5 linked regions of the Macaca fascicularis genome follow. The protein of the gene in region 1 interacts with the protein of each later gene in a biochemical or structural test. Links are inferred from orthologs where the notes say so. Each region holds a gene or a part of one and is shown in the gene's direction. Other genes may lie near its edges.

Region 1 (3,512 bases):
ATTTGCTCCTAAGTGAGAAGGCTGGACTTTCTGTTCTGTAGGAACAGCCTGAGTGTAAGTGTTTGTCAGGAGAAGCGTTTCTTCATGTCCCCACGGGCCACTCATGTGTCTTTTGGAAAATATCTCTTCAGATCCTTTGCCCACTTTTATATGGGCTGCTTTGGGTTTTGCTGGTGAGTTGCTGGAGTTCCCTGCATATTCTGGATACTCTTCCCTTGTCGGATGAATAACTTGCACATTTCCCCCTTCCGCAGGTCGTCTCTTCACTCTGGTGATTTTTTTCCTTTGCTGTGCAGAAGCTTTTTAGTTGAGCAGAGTCCCGGTTGTCTGTTTTCGTTTTTGTTGCCTGTGCTTTTGAGGCCTTAGTCGTAAATCTTCCACAGTAGGCAAGAGGCAGAATCAACCTCAGTGTCCTTCAGTGGATGAACAGTCAGAGAAAATGTGGTGCTGTACACAGTGGAGTACTATGCAGCCATCAAAAAGGATGGAATCCTGACATTTGCAGCAACACAGATGGAACTAGAGGCCTTCATGTTAAGTGAACTAAGCCAGGGACAGAAAGACAAACATCGCATTTTCTTATTCATCTGGGGTAGCTAAAAAAGTTGCTGTCGTGGAGGTAGAGAGTATAATGGAATCTGTTTATTCATTGTTAATGTTAGTTTCTGGCAAGGGGATTTCTATCTGCCAAACCCCACTAACTAGCGTGATTACAACATTTATTCATTCTCTGTTTGCCCATTCATTCAGCAGACATTCCTTGAGTAGCTACTGTGTAGGGGTTATAGTGGTGATAAACTATTGTCCTTTTTAGCAAAACACATTGATTCTACAAGCAAAAAGATGTTAAATATCACAGTAGTTCAAGTCCTTGGAGACTGTTGCTGCTGACCCTTCCTGTGTGGCCTTCTAATCTGTACTCCTGGCTTATGTTTGCTTTATCCAAGCCCATTCTTTAAAAGTTACATGACCTATAACCTGTTTTTCTAACTTAATGTATCATAAACAAGTGTCCAAGTAATCACCCAAGATTGTTCCTAACCCCCAGAGTGTCCTGATGTGCAATGCCCCTCCATTCTGTTAACACCGAGGTGCTGGGGAAGCCACATTGCTCTGCCCTGCCTGCTGGGTGCTCAGCCCCACAGCCGAGGCTTCATTGGCATCAGGCCTTCTCCTTATTTCTTAACGTTGCATCCCAAGAGTGGAGCTCTAGGATCAAAGGTTAGACTGATTTTGAAGGCGTTTGCCATAGACTGCCATATTGTCCTGCAGAAAGGATGCCACTAAGTGATTTGCAGCGCTCTCAACAGCGTTTGCGGTTCCTCTAGGCCAAGGTGGTATTATCATTTTTCAAAAATGTTTGCCAATTTTTGGGGTTTCAAAATACGTTTCCAGATGACCATAATGTGTTTTCCTGAACGTCTTCCGCTTCCTGAGCTCTGCCGTCACTGGTCTTCACCGCATGCTTTTCTCACTGTTAGTTGTTTGATTCGCAGGCGCTCTGTGCTGACCCTCACCTGCCTCATACGTGGTTGGTATTGTTGTCATCATTGCCTGCCTTTCATAGGAGCACTTGTTTTATGATTTTCTTTTTATTTTTAATCTGTGTGGGTACATAATGTATATATTTATGGGGTACGTGAGATGTTTTGATACAGGCCTGCAATGCGTAGTTGTCACGTCATGCAGAGTGTGGGGTGCCCATCCTCTCAAGCATTTATCCTTTGTGTAACAATCCAATCATACCCTTATAGTTATTTTTCAATGTACAATTAAATTGTATTTCCTTTTTGGTTTCTGCTTTTCTTGTTGTCTGGAAAGACATGGCCAACGCCAACTACAAAAAGGCATTGTAAAGTGTATTATCCTAGAAACTGCAAAACGGCATTGGAAACTGTATTATCCTAGATTTCCTTCTGACTAGTCTGTGGTAAATAATCACACTGAATTGAAATCAACACGATGATGCTGGACAAGGTGACAGAAGAACCCGTATCGCGGGGAGGAAACTGGAGCCGTGCATTGGGCTTTCATGTTGTGGTGCGTGTTGAAATCTCATGCTCTCGTTGCTGTATCATTTGCTACGTGTATGTTTGCACTCATAGATCAGAATTCAGTGCAGGCTGCCACAGGTGTTTTCATCGTTGTTTTTCTCGGTGTATATTGCTGATGTTTGGCCGTAACAGACTGTGACAGTCATCATGTGTTCTGTCCCCAGACGAGTTTGGCGCACAGACTTGTGGCGCGAGAAGGCTCGGCCGCTCCACTTCCCCTCTACACGTCGCCGTCCCTGCCCAACATCACGCTGGGCCTGCCTGCCACCGGCCCTGCTGCTGTAAGTCAGCCCCCGTGGGTCCGTGCGGCGTGGGGTGGCGGTGATGGGCCCTTCCACCCCAGCATCGCCGGCTGTGCTTTCCAGGGCACCGCAGGCCAGCAGGATGCCGAGAGACTCACCCTTCCCGCCCTCCAGCAGCGGCTCTCCCTTTTCCCCGGCACCCACCTCACTCCCTACCTGAGCACCTCGCCCTTGGAGCGGGACGGAGGGGCAGCGCACAGCCCTCTTCTGCAGCACATGGTCTTACTGGAGCAGCCGCCGGCACAAGCGCCCCTCGTCACAGGTGAGCACAGATGGGCCTGGGTGCAGCCAGGCTCTGAGGCTACCCGTGCTCTGGACGGTGCCCGGCCCTCGCCTGCCTTTGGAGGAGACGAAGGCATGCCTGTCCCACCCCCACAGTTCCCAAACACACATCCCCCTCACGTCATGTAGCTGCCGTGACTGCAGTGAAAATCCACGCCTCACTCCCAGAGCCAGGTAGATGGAGTGGAAGCGGAAGTCACTTCCCTTTCTCACCTTTTGGGAGAGGCCGCTGGCTCTTGCAGTTTGGGTTTCTGTCTGGACCAAGCTGAGCCAGCACTGGAAGCCCAGAACTGACTCTCGTGGTCAGTTGGTGTTAGCAGAACTTTTACAAATGTGCACTGTCTGGGGGTGTGGTTACATTTAGAAAAATACAATTTAGAGAAAAATGGGAACTTCCTTATGAAATTACATAGCAACAGCAATGTGAAAGTATAACTTCAGAAATGAGGGAGCACCGGCCGGGCGTGGCGACTCACACCTGTAACCCCAGCAGTTTGGGAGGCCGAGGCAGGTGGATCACCTGAGGTCAGGAGTTCAAGACCAGCTGACTAACATGGTGAAACCCTGTCTCTACTAAAAATACAAAAATTAGCTGGGCGTGGTGGTGCACACCTGTAATCCCAGCTACTCGGGAGTCTGAGGCAGGAGAATCGCTTGAAACCGGAAGGCAGAGGTTGCAGTGAGCCAAGATGGTGCCACTGCACTCCAGCCTGGGCGACAGAGCAAGACTCCGTCTCAAAAATAAATAAATAAATAAACAAAGAAACAAATAAATAAATAAACGAGGGAGCCTCTACCTACCCCCTTGCCATGCGGGTCATGATTATACATCTTCACAGCTTTGGGTTTGGCTTCCTGGAAATCTGTTGTTGCC
Region 2 (3,512 bases), on another chromosome or scaffold:
CTAGAATAGACCATAACACGTCTCTCTGAAGTTTTCCTACAATCCAGTTTTCTCTGTTTTAACAACTACAGCTTAATATCATTGTGGATCAGCCACATTTAATTTATTGTTTTCTATATGACTTAAATAATGTTAATACTGTAATCTCTCCAGGTGTCATTCTCTATATTCTACTTGTGGGGTATCCACCCTTCTGGGATGAAGACCAACACAGACTCTATCAGCAGATCAAGGCTGGAGCTTATGATGTATGTAATAACTATTTATATCACTTTAGATGAAGGTTTGTTTTTTGCTTGCTGATCAAGAGCCAGATCTTTTCATTTTTCTTTTAACTATAATTTTTACCACTTTCTCTTATTATTTCCCTCTCTCTTAAGGAAAGGGAAAAAGAAATGCAGCATATGTGTTCAGCTTATGTTTCCTTTTAACTCACTCTCTCCTAAGATAAAAAGAAAAGTCATGTGAAGTCTCTGAGGAAGAACTTTGTCAAAATGTTTGGATCTTAGTGCATTTTAAAAACATAAAAATTAAAATATTTCTGCTATAAAAATGATTATTGCCCATTCAGTTGAATTATATTCTCAAATACCTATCACATAATTTTACATTATATACCAACAATATTTTGCAGTGATCACATATCAAATAGAACATTATTCCACTATACCAGTTTCTGGGTTTTGTTTTTTGTTTTTGTATTGTTTACCTAATGGGATGCTATGCAAGCTTTCATTTGAAGAATGAGTTTCACAATTGAAAAATTTGAAAATCATAATTCTAATATATTTAATTTTTAATTAGAATATTTGAAAGTAGATATATATATACATATTCATAAATTAAGTTCAGAATCTGAAGAGGAAGTCTTTATCTACTTTCTCTTTATGGCTTAACTTTGTGTTTATGATATAATTTGCTCTCCTTTGATATGTATTCTTGTAAATACGATTTACCACTTTCTCTGGTTTCCTCTCATACAGCCCTAGGGAAATCCATGTGCAGGATCTGGGCATGCTTTCCATGTGTCATTAAGTGGAGTAACTATGGAGTAGCAATATTGGGTTCACCTTTTGTGCACAAGTTGAAAGCTTTATGTGAAAGTGAGAGGAGAAAATATAAAATGTCTGTATTGTATTCTATCATGTCTCATGAACTCTTCAGTGCATTTCTGATAAAATTTTCTATTTAGATGGATGTGTGTTTCAGTTAGCAAGAATTTAAAATGTATATTCTTTGAATTTCGAAGCATTCCATTATCCCTAGACTAGTAATTGAAACAAATTATTATTTACATGGCAACAGCTAGCACATTCACCATCTTTACAGACTAGAACCAGCCCCTTTCTGGGCAGACGTAGCCCTGAAAATGCACTGCTTGGTATACCGGAGGAGTGCTTTCATGAAAATTAGAAAACTGAGGAAAAAGTTCACCTTTCTTCATGCTGAACCTACCCCTCATTTGCTATCAAAAGACCTGTACAACATTTAAGAAACAGCCTTGCATGTTTCTTTAGTAGCTCCTAACAGTTAGCAAGCTTTCACAACTGCCAAACATAAGCTTCAGGAATTAAAAAATGACAATTGTTAAGCTGGCAAGAAATTACAGGTATTAGAGTCAATATCATTTTTCTCGTGCTTTATTTTGCCAGTGAGTCACAAGTTCCCCATTTTAAAACTACCAAAAATAGACTAATTCCATTGACACAGTGACAATGGCTTTATTTTTCAAGATTGTCTACACAAATTCATGAATTGGGAAAATAACTTGATATTCTATCATTTTGCAACTAATGTAGTATAAATTTCCCTTAATCATTGAAGGACAGTATTTCTACTAAACATGCTAATGATATAAAAGTAATTTATTATCAGTACAAAAAAATAACATGAAGAGAGGAGAAGTAGCTTTCTTATATAGTCTTATTGTAAAAAAATATTAATAATGGGAAGTTATAAGATTTGATTACTTTCATATACTTTGGTGAAATTTGTAATTGGGCAGATTAAACTTCTTGAAGGGTTAAAATGAAATCTTGCTGAAGCTCCTATAGCCTCAGATTCTTCTCACTACAGCACTCCAAGTAGCCATGATTAATAGGTCAGTTTTGGCACAGGAATTGAAGCTGTTTTATTACCTCTGCTATTACTGCTTATAAGTTGTGAAAGTATATAATACCTCATTTTGAACCTTGGCATAATATTACGATGGCATTGGTACATGTAGCAACCTCTTTGCTTTTATTAAGTTTTGCAAATAATTATGAGAAAGATTGTATAAAATTTCATGTTCAGATCAAAGCAGAGATACTTTGAGAATAGAAGATTCTTAAGTTCTTTTTTTCTGAATTTTAAAATGTATTTACCATATGTGATATGCAGCTCAGTATATATGTTGGTCCCTTATCAGATACTCTTTAATATATATAGTTGTCTACATAGAGGGGGAGAATAGATCTAAATGATTTTATTTATTTTAGATACAATTTAACTTATATAAAAAGTAAATTTATGAAGAAATTCACTACTTGAGGAAATGATTCATATAGTTGACTCTTCCCTGTTTGATTGAGTGTGTCTATTTTTTAAACTTTTTATAAATTTATATTTTTGAAGTTTCCATCACCGGAATGGGACACGGTAACTCCTGAAGCCAAAGACCTCATCAATAAAATGCTTACTATCAACCCTGCCAAACGTATCACAGCCTCAGAGGCACTGAAGCACCCATGGATCTGTGTAAGTAAAACTTCTCAAAAACTTCAAGAGCTAAAATGAAAAATAAGCTGTCCTTTAATATATTGTTTATGGATTTAAAATAACTTTGCAAAAAAAAGATGAAATTCAGAATGAATGAATTTTTGACTCAAGGTGTTTAAGAAAATGAATTTTATGATGGCGAAGAAATGCAATTTTCAGTAGCAAAGTCTGAATTGCATAGATTATTAAACAAATATTGCTTGCAGTAACAAAAGGAATGAGTATTCTTCGTATCAATTATTGACAATACTCGTGAACAAGGTCAAGAAAATAACACCAAAATTAAATGTATCCCAGAAGAAAAGATTTAACAAAGTTCAATTATTTGTCATTAGGCAACTTTAGAAGCAAGTATGAAGTTTGGCAGCTGAGAGTAGAGTTTTAGTGGCATAAAAGAATGGTCATAGTAGTCTGAATATTTTTTAGAAATATTAAGAAAAATAGTGTGAAATTTGAGGGGAATCTGAAGACTTCAGTAAATTTCTGAATGTGTCAAATGCTAAGATGATAAATGCGGCACTAAGTAAATGAAAGGCAGCCCAATCGAAATGTGATTGAAGACATTAAAATAAAGATAATTTGAGAAATTATTAATATTTATTTCTACACTTTCTGGTATTTTTATTTTGTTTTGTTTTGACACAGAGTCTTGCTCTTGTCACCCAGGCAGGAGTGCAGTGGCACAGTCTTGGCTCACTGCAACCTCCGCCTCCCAGGTTCAAACAGTTCTCCTGCCTCAGCCTCCCGAGTAG
Region 3 (4,095 bases), on another chromosome or scaffold:
TCTCCATCCTCTTCTGGGCCCCAAGGAGCCCCCACCACCCACCTCCTATAGCTCTCCCCCTCCAGGAGCCCTCTGTCTCCCGCTAAATTCCAGGACTGCCAGCTGCTATGCTCAGGCCCCACCTCACAGATTTCCCCCACGGCCGCTGTGCGAGGTTGGTCTCCTGAGGCCAGGTTTTCATTCTCTTTCAGTTCAACCTTTTCCTCCTCTTGCTCTGACAAGTCCACGACCACCTTTTGCGCGTCCTTCTCTCCTGGCACCTTGACTGCAGCCACCCAGAGGCACAAGTCAGAGAGTAACGAAGTCCTCTCTGAGAAACCTCCCCTTAATCTCCAAAATATCTTCCCTGAAATCCCTGGGGAAAGGCTGAAGGAGCAGAACCCAGGGCCTGCTATGTGGCTGAAGCCTCTCTGGATTTGGGCGGCAGAAGGGCCCAGGCAGGGAGATAAGACTTGTGTGACCCCCGCCCGCCAGAAGCCTGGACCTCCACTCACTCTGGATTCCTTTGGCCCCAAGCTGAATGCGAGCAAACTCGGTGATCACAGCACATCTGGTGGGAGACAGAGGACTAGCTCATACCCCGCCCCCGCCATCCACACTGACCCACTAGCCGATGCCAGGCTGACCTCTGACCCCTGCTCACGTCAGGTCCCGATTGAATTCCTGCACCGGGTTATAAAAGACCTCGTTGGCGCTGGGAAAGGCGATTTTGGCAGCCCCCTCGGTGATTGTCGTCTCCTGGACTTCACGTGGGCATTCTTCTCCGCAGGGCCCGGTGCCGTTCTCCATCGCTGCTGGATTCGGCAGCCCTGGGGACTGCCCCTCGAAAAACCGGGCTGTACAGAGCACACGGGTGGGGCGGAGAGTGAGGCTTAGCCACAGAACGATCCTTGCATGAGACATCCGCTGGTGCCTCTGTCCGCCAAGCCTGGTTCGGGGGGCGGGGAAAGGCACAGAGAGGGTCAGAGAGCCGCATTCTGGGCCCGGGGGTGTCCTACATATCTATGAAGTAGAAACTAGGAAGACCTGCGGCCTCGGTAAGCTGATAACCCCTTGTTTTGGGGATGACTGGTTCCTGCGGAGCCGATGCCCTCGTGCAGGCCCGCCCTGAGTCCGAATCCCTTCCCGCACTGCCCAGCCCCTCCTCACCTGGTCTCGTAGCCACAGAAAACCGAATTAGTCAAGGTGCACGTTTCCCAAATTAGGACCTGGGCGCCGCCATGTTGGCACGGTGGGTGGGGGAAATCACATGATAGTGGTTGGCCAATCAATGAGGACGTGGACGGTGGGCGGCCGGGATCAAAATGAATGCCATAAAGGAAGCGCGCTGATCATGCTGTTCCGGGGGTTTTAATCACAGTGGATCCCCTGGGAGAGGACACGTCACTAGTCCCATTTCACAGATGAGGAAGTTGTGGCTCAGAAAAGGGGCGGTAAGCGGAGAAACCCAACAGCTATTGGTCCTCTTCTGTGTTCTGGGTGCTATATACACATTATTTCAGAGCACTCTGCAGGGATAACTCAGGCTCTGGAGTTGGATTTACTGGGTTTGAATCTCAGTCCCACCACATGCTCGGGGCCGGTTACTCTAGGGCCTTCAGTTTTCTTATCTATTAAATAAGAATCGTGGTTTCTCAGATAGAACAAAGATTAAATGACAGATTCCTGGAAAGTGTGTAAAGAGCCACTCTGACCTTGTAAGCGCTCGGTAAAGTTCTAACCAGTGTACGAAGGCAGGACAGCGAAGTGGTTCCCGGGTACCTGGGTTCCAGTCTTAGCTCGCCCTGCGACTTGTTGTTAACTCTGAACTTAAGTTACCGCTTTTGCAAAAGGGCAGAACTTTTTACCATTTGTTAGTGGGTTGTAGTGAGAAGTAAACGAGTTAGTGCACGTAAAATGCTAACAGAACCTAGCATCCGGTAAGCATCATAAAAGTCTTAGCTGTTATTGTCGCTTTTGAGCCTGCGTTTAAATCCTGGCACCCGCCATCACTTCCTTGCTGTGTGATGATCTTGACCAGCTTTCTTTGTGCCTCCTTTTCTGTCTTTCTTTATTTTCTTTTTTTTTTTTTTTTTTTTTTTGAGACGGAGTCTCGCCCTGGATCATGCAGTGGCATGATCTCGGCTCACTGCAACCACCGCCTCCCGGGTGCAAGCGATTCTCCTGCCTCAGTCTCCCGAGTGACTGGGATTACTAGCGCTTGCCATCACGCCCGGCTAATTTTTGTATTTTTAGTAGAGACAGGGTTTCGCCATATTGGCCAGGCTGGTTTTGAACTCCTGACCTCAGGCGATCCACCCACCTCGGTCTCCCAAAGTGCTGGGAGTACAGGCGTGAGCCACCGCGCCCAGCCGCCTTTATTTTCTCTAGTGTGTAACAGTTCCCACTAAAAAATGTTACTGTGTAGTTTAAACGAGCTAATTCCCATAAAGAACCTAACACGGTGCCTGCTGCAATAAACAGCAGTCATTATTGTTTTTGTTTTACAGGAAACTAAAGTTCGGAAAGGTAGAGCGACTTGCCCAAGGTCGCGGGACTAGAAGGTGGCGGGGTCGGGATTCGAACCACCGAGCTGAGCCGACGTACCGGCGAGGATCCTCCCAGGGGCATAGAGAGGAGACGGAGCCGGTTAGATGGGGCGCGCTCGGAGCTCGGCTGGCCTCGCCTGGAGGGCGGGGCCTGAGGGCGGTGCGCGGGCGGGGCCGGTGCCGCTCCTCCCTGGCCTGGCTGCGGCGGCGGCGCGGCTTGCGCTCGCTCGGCGCTCGGCTGGGGCGGCCTGGCCCACAATGAATGGCCGCCGCGGCTGCCGCTGCTGCTGAGGCGGAGGCCGCGGAGGCCGCGGAGGCGGAGGCCGAGGCCCCGGCGCAGGGGGGCGCGCCCCGGGCCCAGGCCCGGCCCCAGCCGCCGCTGCGGAGCCCGCCGGGAGCCCCCGGAGCTCGGCCACGGCGCAGGTGAGGCGGCCCGCCTCAGGCCCGGTTCCGGCCTTCTCCAGCCGGGGCGGCCCGAGGGCTGAGTGGGGAGGGCCTGGGTGCTTTCTCGGACTGAGGAGGAGCCGGGCCCGCAGCCTGCACTGTGCCCGGGCAGGCGTGTGTGTGCAGGCCCGGCTACCGCGGGCAGACTTGAGCGTCCAGCCCGAACCTCGGGGCTTGGGGGCGGCAGGATCGTACCTGGACCGCTCCCCCAGCTCCCAGCGAGGGAGGGGGCCAGGTCGGGCCGGGGCGGGTACCGGGGATCCAGGGAAGTTAGAGGGTCCGAAGCGGAAAAGTGAGGAGGCGCCCGTGGATGCCGGAGGGGGAGGGGGAGGAGGAGTCGGGCTCTGGCCAGGCCGAGTGGGGGAGGAGAGGAGAGCGGCGCGGCCGGAGGGGGGCGGGGAGGGGCCGGGCCTGCAGGTACCGCCTGGGCGCTGGAGGAGGTGGGTGGGTCAAGTTACAGGCCTGGGGGCGGCTGAGGAGAAGCCCAGGAAGTGGGGCACGGTGGGTGTGGGCGGAGTTAGTTCGGGTGGGGGCGGATAGGAGATCCCAGAGATGTTTTCCGGGGGTCACATGAGGTCAGGACTCAGATGTGGGGAGGGGGAGGCTAGATCTGGGGGCGATTAGGTAAGGCGAGGGACTGCTGTAGGAGCTTTGCGAGTCGGGGGAGCAGAGCCTTTGGGCTAGGCTGGGGGGATGTGGGGGCAGGTCAGGAAAAGCTAGTGTGACCAGCAGGTATATACTGAGATGCGCCCCCCATCGACCCCAACTCGAAGTGTTAGTTCAGAGTCACATCTAAGGGGTTCCCTCATTCCCACACCTCATCCCAGAAGCCTCTAGAGTCCTGACCCTACCCCTTGGGCAAGCCTCTGCCAACTGTTCAAAGGCGCTGGCCAGTGGGTGTTTGTGTGGGCAGCTGGAGACAGTCTGGAACACCTAGCTTAGGCATCTTGTTTATCACAAGGTGGCCCTCGCCCACCCCCACCTTATATATCTACAGGGAGGCAGCCCAGCAGACATTACCTGAGTATTTTAGGATCCTGCGTTCTTTCTCTACCTTTTGTGGCCAGAAGCTGGTGGTTCAAGCCTAGTGGATGGGACCTCATAGCCACCGTCATATATATTA
Region 4 (3,951 bases), on another chromosome or scaffold:
CAAAGAGCGCTTCCCACCTCTGGCACCCTACCTTCGCTGAGCTCCAGGGAAAAGAGGAGAGGGCAGCTTTCTGCAGTCAGAGGAAGGGTACATTTTCTTTGGCCTCTCTACCCTCTAAAGCAGGACGGCCCGCTGAAGGAGGACGCACTTCTGAGGGGCCCAGAGCTTTTCCAAGTTTTCCCCTGCCCCCTGAAGACTGTGCACTGAGCTGGGCGCAGTTGTCGGAAACTGTTTGCACCCAGATTGCTGGGGGTCGGGGGTCGGGTGCGGGCAGAGCCGAGAGGCTGTCCAAGTCTGAGAGAGAGAAAAGTTTCTCCCAGGACTCGACCTTGGCCTCCAGCAATCGCGACAGCTAAAAAGGGACCTCTCGCTTCGACAACAGATCTCGCGGACCTTCTGGCACCTGGTTCACCAGGACCCTCGAACTCTGCCTCGGGAGACTTCTTGAAATCCGGATGCTCAAGCCGGGAGGCGCGCAGTAGCCAGAAGGATGAGAGGCCCGGGTTTGGACTAGGAAAGCGGCCTTTTGAAACAGATGTCAGGGGCTACTGGGAATGCAGCCCAGAGCCATGAGAAAAAAGTTAAAGGCGAGATGACACACACTGAATTGGGGCAAACATTGGAAGAGGGGACAAAACTGCGTGCTTGAGCACCGGGGTGCGGGGGAGGGGGGACAAAACTCGTATCCAATGGAAATTAAAGTCTTGGGAGGAGGTGGGGGCTCCTGCGCGCCCTTCACCCTCAGTTCCCCTATTAAGGATTCCGCGTCCCCTGCACGCCTGTCTTCTAGCTCCTTCCTTCCTCTCCGCTCGGCCGGTGAGCGGCGGCCGCCAGCGCCCCAGCAGCAGCTAGATGTCAGGCGAAGCCCGGAGCGCGGAGCGCGGGGAAGGGAGGGGAAGGGAGGGGAGGGGAAAGGAGAGGTGGGGCGGGGAGCGCGCGCGGGCTCGGCCAGTGCGGGGTGGTGGGCGGGCTGAGCCCGAGGACGGCGCGGGAGGGGGGAGGGAAGGGGGGCAGCTGTGGGCAGGGAGCCGGGCTCGGCCGCCAGCACTAAAGATGGAGAGGCGCCGGGGCCTTGCAGGGGAGGGGGCTCGGCGTTGACGTGGGACGCGGCGGAGGCGCAGCAGCCGGTGGTGATTTGCTAACCTCGCAGCAGAGAGGAGTTGAGGGCGATGAGAGCGGGTACTGCGAACTGCCGGGCGATGCTGTCGCTGCCGCCTTGATACGGAGAGCAACAGTTCCCCAGCAACACCCCTCCCCGACACAGGCACACACCCCCCGACAGGCACGCACACCCACCCCACAGTGCCCGGCTCGGCTGCGGTGAGTGAGGGGCCGGGAAGAGGCGCACCGCCGAGCGAGCGCCGCGCGCCGGGGCTCCCCGGGGCTGGAGAGGTCTGGGGGGCGCGCGCTCGCTTCGGCCACTCGGCCGCTGGGCTTGTGCCTTTTTTATTTGGCGTGTTCCCTTCCTGCCGCTGCAGCCGTCGCCGCAACCGGTTGGGGGTCGGCTAGAAGGGGGAGCCCCGGCTGTCAGCCTGGGCACAGCTGCCTCCCCAGCCCTTCCTCTCCAGGGCACGGTCGGGGTGAGAGGTGGGGGGCGTAGCGGTCTGCGGGGGCTGAGGGCGTGAGCAGAGGGTCGGGGATCCGGAGGCTTTGTACCGCCAGGGGCCAGCGGAGGAACAGAGCCCGTGGGTGCTCTTATGTATGCGGACCGGTGCGCGGGCGCGAGATAGGGTTGTGGTTTATTTATTTGTGTGTCTATTCGCCGGCCGGCTGGGAAGCTAGAATCGGAGGAGCTGACGAGTAGATCTGGGGGCGGAGGGGAACAGGACTGGGACTGCTTACGTTTTGTTTCTGTTTGAAAAAACGTGGTGGGCTTTTTATTGATTGGACTTGATCCCCCCCTTTTGCAGGGGAGGGAGGGAAGCTCCAGAGGGTCTCCAGCGCTCCGGGCCCTCCTCGGCTCTCGACGGGACCGGCGGTGACACCGGAGCTCGCCGTGCGCTCCCGGCCGCTCTCGGTGGGTGCGGGTCTCTGCACCTGATGCGTTCGGGATGCCTTTCCCACCCTGGCGCGCCCGCCGCTAGCTCGCACAGCGCCTCGCACACGCCCGCACGCGCTTGAAATGCGCAGGGTCCCGCCGGCCCACGGACCCACTGGGACGCACGGAGCGCTCCGCACCGACTCGCTCGCCGCCTCCGCGAGACGCTCGCACGGTGCTTCGGACGGGCGCGCCGGCCGCTGGCGCCGCTGGCCAGAGGCCGGGGACCCAGCCGGTCGCTTCCCGGGGGTCACGGCCCTGGGTCGGAGAGGGAGGGCGGGCAGACCCCTTCTCGCCTTTCCTCCTACAACTCGTTTGCGGGGCTTTTGTGCTTCCCCTTCGCCGCGGGGCGGGTCCGCCTCCCTGCTGCTCTCCCCGCGGAGTCCAGCCCGCCCGGACTGTCGCCTTTTTTCCCAGTCTCTTTCGCTTTCCCTCGTCCCTAGCCCAGCTCTTCATCTTTCAGGCGTCTAGCTCCTCGGGAAAAGTTGCTTCCCCAAGTTTGCTGAAGTCGTCTCCAAGTCTCGGTGGGGGGTCGCTGGGAACTGGAGGCGTGTGAGAGCACGGTCGATCCCCGGAGCTCAGGCGGGTTCTCGCCGGTTCTTCCCCGCGCCGCCCGGCTGGACGCTGCAGCCAGCGCCGGCCGAATCGCGGGCGCCGAGCGGCGGGTGGGGAAGACGGCTGCCCGTGGGCGCCCCGATTTCCCTCAGGACCCAAAGGGCTTGTTTTGGGGCGCCAAGCTTCCATTCTTTTGGCTGTTCCCTCCTAGTTCTCAGAAGCCCCGATGTCTGCGGGAAAGCACGCGGTGGCCAGGCTCTGCTGAATGTTCATCCCACCCTTGACGGCCTCCGTCCCCACCCCGGGGTAGGCAACAAAAGTGTCTTGACCAGCCGTCCTGTGAATCCTTTCTGCGTGAGCTTGGTGGCTCCTGAACTGATAGAGCTTCTTTTGGGGGTGGAGGCAAGCAAGCAGTGTTCGAAGAGTGAGGGAGAGACCTTGCTGTTCCTTGCTCTCAGTGCATTCACTGCAATATTGGTCGCTGCAAGGCAGACACGGGGAGGGCCCTGGGCCTGCGCGGTCTTTCTAACACTCGTTAAGCGGGGTTTGGAGTCTAGGAGCCCTCTTATTGATCCCGAACAGGCTCTGGGAGAGGCCTTTGTTTCCCAGCCCTGTCTTCCCTTCGTACTGGTTGTAACTCACACCACAGATGCTGGTGCCAATATCACTTCCAGCGCCTCTGAGCCATGTCCGGCATCCCTTGCTGCCCCTGGTCACAGGACTTGCAGACTCCTTGGAGCCTGTGGGACACACGTGGAGTTCACACACCCAGCCCAGCATAAGCGCTCCTGGCTGTAGGGGAGCATATTTACTGTGGTCTCTCTCCATACCTTAATGATCCATCCTTCTTCGTTTTTTAGATCCTCCTGTCCACCGGCCAGTTGTGGGCAGGACGGTAGGTACGGCCCCTTATATAAGTGTGTGTGTGTGTGTATGTAAAGACACACACACACGCTTTTTTTTTTTTCTGAGACGGAGTTTTGCTGTTGTTGCCCAGGCTGGAGCGCAATGGCACAATCTCGGCTCACCGCAACCTCCGCCTCCCGGGTTCAAGTGATTCTCCTGCCTCAGCCTCGCTAGTAGCTGGGATTACAGGCGGGTGCCACCGCGCCTGGCTAATTTTGTATGTTTTGTAGAGACGGGGCTTCTCCACGTTGGTCAGGCTGGTCTCGAACTCCCGACCCCAGGTGATCCGCCTGCCTGGGCCTCCCAAAGTGCTGGGATTAGAGGCGTGAGACACTACACCCTGCCCCACACACTCTTTCTGTCTCTGGCTGGTGTACATACACACAGTGCAGATTTTAGATTATACATACAATAACTTTGAGGCTTCCATGGGTAGAAATGACCTAAGTTTG
Region 5 (4,204 bases), on another chromosome or scaffold:
GGCATCAAGCAAGTCTCCTACCTCAGCCTCCCAAAGCTCTGGGGGCAGAAGCCACTGTGCTCAGCAGAGGTGGATTTCTAATGAGGGATAAAGCATATTTTTACTTGTTAGGGATTGTTTCATGCCTTGATCTCTGTCCGTCTGCCGAGTTCCAAAGAGAAATAACAGAGATGTTCTCATTCCCAGCAATTGTTTTTCCTTCCTTGGATTTCTGCCCTGAGTTTGTGGCTGCTTTCCTACAGTGCCGATCTAAGCTAGGTTAAATAGAAATTTCATGGTAAAACAAAGGAGATTAAAAAAAAAATAGAAATTTCAAGAATGCTTCAAAATCTAAAGCGCAGAGTACTTTGCACACAGGGCATTTATTCCTGCCACACCTTGCTGCTACAGGTGGCCACTATTAGAATGCGATGTTCCATCCAATGTCTCTTCACAATTTGAAAACTTTTTTTTGTAGAGGCAGGGTTTTGTTATCTTGCCCAAGTTAGTCTCCAACTGCTGGCCCAAAGTGATCTTGCCTTGGCCTCCCAGCAGCCACCTGCCTGGTTTTCGTTTCATACATCATTATTGATAGCAGTCCTATGCGCTTGGTAATACATCACGGAGCAAAACAGACAATAAAACGGCCATTGAGGATTTCATATACACACACACAAACACACACACTATATAGAGAGAGAGGATGTGGAAAAAAAATAAATATATATAGAGAGAGACTCATTCTGTCACCCAGGCTGGAGTGCAGTGGTGTGATCTTGGCTCACTGCCGTCTCGACTCAGGTGATCCTCCCATCTCAGCCTCCAAGTAATTGGGACGACAGGCACGCGCCAGGACCGGCTAATTTTTTTGTAGAGGCGGGGTTTCGCCATGTTGGCCAGGCTGGTCCCGAACAACTGGGCTCAAGTGATCCGTCCGCCTTGGCCTCCCAACTTGCTGGGATTACAAGCGTGAGCTACCGTGCCCAGTCTCTAGTGACTACATTCTTGCCCTGTTTAGCCATTATGTCTCTCTACTCACAACAGTTTTATAATGAAACTTTGCCTTACCATTTGCATGAGTCGGCCTCAGCTTGTCATTATATATAAAGTTTAAATATGATTGGACTCTATCCAGGGCCCAGTTTTCCAGAAATTAGAAACAGATATGCCTAAGACCCAGAGGGTTATTACTCAAATCTGAAACGTTGACTCAAAACTTCCCCTAATGCCCACCTTTGGCAAACAGTGCTTAAACCTTTGCACGTGGCTGCAAAAAGTACCTGGCTGGGGACGCGTAGCTCTGGCGGGGCACTCTGCCTCCAAGCCAAAAGGGGGCAGTGGACTCACAGAGCCGCTGCTCGGCCCTCTGATCCCTCCACCTCACCCTGGGAACGTCACGACCTCCTCTCGCCGCTTCTCCCCGTCGCTAATGCGCAGGCGCTGGCGTGATAGCGCGCCGCCGAGCCAAGAAAGGGGTCACGAACTCTGACCCTCCCAAATACCCAAACACAGAAAGCTCCCTCCGCCGTGAATCTCGATCCCCCCTCCCGTGGGCTTCCTTCAACCTCTCTTTCCGGAGCGCCCCCCAATCCAGCAGTGGCAACCGCGGGACTGTCGCGTCGGCGCCCGACGCCGGAGTCAGCGGGGCGCAAAAGCGCCGGTAAGAAGCGCTGGGTGGGGACACCAGCGACCGCGTCGGGGGCGGGGGACGGGGGGTGCCCTTCACCCCAACGGCCAACGGACGCGCTCCCAGGGCATCCTGCGGCCAGCGGGGCCGTTCAGTTTGGGCGCGCCGCTTTGGGCTGCTGGAGTTGGGCTGGGAGCGCGGAGCGGCGGCGCCGAATGCTCTGGGTCCCCGGAGAGGCGGGGCGGCGGGACGCGGGGCCGGACGCCGAGCGGCTCGGAGCACACAACTGCCTCTCCCAGTGCGCTCATCGCAGCGCCTCTGACCTTTAACCTGCAGGGAAAGCTTCCGCGGTGCCGCAGTTTCCCCCGCCCCGGGGAGCCGCGCGCAGCGTCGGGGCCTCGAAGGCGCACGGCTAACGCCGGAACGAGTGAGTCCCGGGAGAGGCCGACCCCCGGCTAGTGGCCGCAGGTCCCGGCCTGCATCCCCTGCCTAACTCTCATGCTTTCACGGGACGGACAGAATGACGCCCTCCACTTTCACTTTTCTCTCACGACAAATCGGGCCAGGGTCGTCGCTGCCTGTGGACCTGGATCTTTTCAGAAGATACGGAACGGCCCCGGGGTCCTCACTGTAGGGGACATGTCCAAGCTTCCGATAGATAGCTCTTTTGTTAAGAAATTCTTCTTTCAGCTCGTGCAGATACCATTTTTGTGCAGTATGAATGTTGCCAAGTTGTCCCATAATCTTCAGTAAGTAGGTCAGTCTTTAAAAAAGTAACCGGAAAGCAAAAGCAAAAGACCTAAAATTAAGGCCTTTAGGGTTTAATACCTCTAGACGTTGTAAATAGACCTTCAATTTTGAGGTTTTTTGAACCATTTCTGCTGTGTGGTTGGTGATACTCGATTTTTTTTTTTTTTTTTTGGAGAGGGAGTCTCTCTCTGTCACCCAGGCTGGAGTGCCGTGGCGCGATCTCCGCTTGCTACAACCTCCACCTCCCGGGTTCAAGCGATTCTCCTGTCTCAGCCTCCTGAGTAGCTGGGACTACAGGCAGGAGCCACCACACCCAGCTAATTTTTTTTTTTTTTTTTTTTTTTTTTTTTTGATAGAGATGGGGTTTCACCATGTTGGCCAGTATGGTCTCGATATTCTGACCTCGTGAGCCACCCACCTCGGCCTTCCAAAGTGCTGGGATTACAGGCGTGAGCCACCGCGCCCGGTCGATGATTGTTTTTAAACTGCTTTAAGTCCAGTTAGTAAATCTGAAAAAGCGATGTGTATTTCTATCATTAAAAGTGGGTCGTGGCTGGGCGCGGTGTCTCACACCTGTAATCCCAGCACTTTGGGAGGCCTAGGCGGGCGGATCATCTGAGGTCAGGAGTCCGAGACCAGCCTGACCAACATGGAGAAACCCCGTTTGTAGTAAAAATACAAAATGAGCCGGGCGTGGTGACGCACGCCTGTGATCCCATCATCTCCAGAGGCCGAGGCAGGAGAATCGCTTGAACCTGGGAGGCGGAGGTTGCTGTGAGCAGAGATCGCGCCATTGCACTCCAGCCTGGGCAACAAGAGCGAAACTCCATCTCAAAAAAGAAAAAAAGTGGGTCGCATGGAATGTTGCTAATCTTAGTCTTTCAAGGGGCATGTTAGTGTCTTCTAGGAAGGGTTTTTTTTTTGTTTGTTTTATAGAAATGGTGGAGGGCCTCATTTTGTTGTCCAGACTGGTCTCTGGTCTCAAGCTGTCCTCCTGCCTCAGCCTGTTGAGTAGCTGGAATTACAGGCACTGCATCCTAAGGAGGGATTTTGAGGGAGCAAACATCCCCAAAATATCTACCATCTGGGTGTCTGCCACACAGTGTATAATCTCTACTCTTGGGGAATAAAAACAAAACAGCATACAATAAATAATAGGATAAATATAATTCGTTGCCTTTTTTCAGTCACAAGACCATCTGCAGCCTCTTAAAGTCTTTTATGAACTGTCTCTAGAAAAATGTACCTTTAGATAAAATTTACATACAATATTAGGAGTTAACAAATCTTTTTCTGAATCCTAGTTAACAACCTTAGTCTACACAATAAATGCTAGACCCTTGAAGAAAGACTAGGTGAAAAACTATGAACCAAATTTTTTTTTTTTTTTTCCCCAGACGGAGTTTTGCTCTTGTTTCCCAAGCTGGAGTGCAATGGTACGATCTCGGCTGACTGCAACCTCCGCCTCCTAGATTCAAGCGATTCTCTTGCCTCAGCCTCCCATGTAGCTGTTACCACAGGCACCATCCACCACACCCGGCTAAATTCTTGTATTTTTGGTAGAGATGGGGTTTCACCATGTTGGCCGGGCTGGTCTTGAACTCTTGACCTCAGGTGATCCACATGCCTTGGCCTCCTAAAGTGCTGGGATTACAGGCAGGAGCCCTGGCTTGAACCAAATCTTAAAGGTCAGGTGGGATTTAAATGAGGGAGAAAGTAGGAATATGTTGGGGAATAAAGCACATGATAGTTTGACCTGAAGAGGCCCCCTCTTGAGAGTGACAGGAAATGAGAATGGGGGAAGTCGGATTATAAAAGAACTCTCCCTTGTGTTCACAGTGCCAGACA

The links.
Region 2: of the proteins of HDAC4 (region 1) and CAMK2D, one has a biochemical effect on the other in vitro, tested with the Homo sapiens proteins (2 studies listed by BioGRID, with this or other methods). The link is inferred for Macaca fascicularis from reciprocal best matches to the Homo sapiens genes HDAC4 and CAMK2D.
Region 3: the proteins of HDAC4 (region 1) and NACC1 form a complex in vitro, tested with the Homo sapiens proteins (2 studies listed by BioGRID). The link is inferred for Macaca fascicularis from reciprocal best matches to the Homo sapiens genes HDAC4 and NACC1.
Region 4: the proteins of HDAC4 (region 1) and ZBTB16 form a complex in vitro, tested with the Homo sapiens proteins (2 studies listed by BioGRID). The link is inferred for Macaca fascicularis from reciprocal best matches to the Homo sapiens genes HDAC4 and ZBTB16.
Region 5: the proteins of HDAC4 (region 1) and NR2C1 form a complex in vitro, tested with the Homo sapiens proteins (2 studies listed by BioGRID). The link is inferred for Macaca fascicularis from reciprocal best matches to the Homo sapiens genes HDAC4 and NR2C1.

Annotation. Positions count from the first base shown.
Region 1 is NC_088386.1:135,043,446-135,046,957, reverse strand, and holds part of HDAC4 (histone deacetylase 4), read left to right. Parts: intron 1-2,218; coding exon 2,219-2,335; intron 2,336-2,419; coding exon 2,420-2,618; intron 2,619-3,512. UniProt on the Homo sapiens protein: Responsible for the deacetylation of lysine residues on the N-terminal part of the core histones (H2A, H2B, H3 and H4).
Region 2 is NC_088379.1:119,046,653-119,050,164, reverse strand, and holds part of CAMK2D (calcium/calmodulin-dependent protein kinase type II subunit delta), read left to right. Parts: intron 1-153; coding exon 154-248; intron 249-2,616; coding exon 2,617-2,739; intron 2,740-3,512. UniProt on the Homo sapiens protein: Calcium/calmodulin-dependent protein kinase involved in the regulation of Ca(2+) homeostatis and excitation-contraction coupling (ECC) in heart by targeting ion channels, transporters and accessory proteins involved in Ca(2+) influx into the myocyte, Ca(2+) release from the sarcoplasmic reticulum (SR), SR Ca(2+) uptake and Na(+) and K(+) channel transport.
Region 3 is NC_088393.1:13,519,483-13,523,577, forward strand, and holds the start of NACC1 (nucleus accumbens-associated protein 1), read left to right. Parts: upstream 1-1,295; 5' UTR 1,296-1,403; coding exon 1,404-1,433; intron 1,434-1,722; exon of another isoform or gene 1,723-1,919; intron 1,920-2,489; coding exon 2,490-2,508; exon of another isoform or gene 2,509-2,628; intron 2,629-2,760; exon of another isoform or gene 2,761-2,951; intron 2,952-4,095. Other genes in the region: TRMT1 (tRNA (guanine(26)-N(2))-dimethyltransferase), read right to left, coding at 123-265, 495-550, 644-903. UniProt on the Homo sapiens protein: Functions as a transcriptional repressor. Seems to function as a transcriptional corepressor in neuronal cells through recruitment of HDAC3 and HDAC4. Contributes to tumor progression, and tumor cell proliferation and survival.
Region 4 is NC_088388.1:112,988,389-112,992,339, forward strand, and holds the start of ZBTB16 (zinc finger and BTB domain-containing protein 16), read left to right. Parts: upstream 1-1,151; 5' UTR 1,152-2,017; exon of another isoform or gene 2,018-2,804; 5' UTR 2,805-2,899; exon of another isoform or gene 2,900-3,951. UniProt on the Homo sapiens protein: Acts as a transcriptional repressor. Transcriptional repression may be mediated through recruitment of histone deacetylases to target promoters. May play a role in myeloid maturation and in the development and/or maintenance of other differentiated tissues.
Region 5 is NC_088385.1:102,135,081-102,139,284, reverse strand, and holds the start of NR2C1 (nuclear receptor subfamily 2 group C member 1), read left to right. Parts: upstream 1-1,404; 5' UTR 1,405-1,639; exon of another isoform or gene 1,640-1,920; intron 1,921-1,961; exon of another isoform or gene 1,962-2,363; intron 2,364-2,676; exon of another isoform or gene 2,677-3,203; intron 3,204-4,204. UniProt on the Homo sapiens protein: Orphan nuclear receptor. Binds the IR7 element in the promoter of its own gene in an autoregulatory negative feedback mechanism. Primarily repressor of a broad range of genes.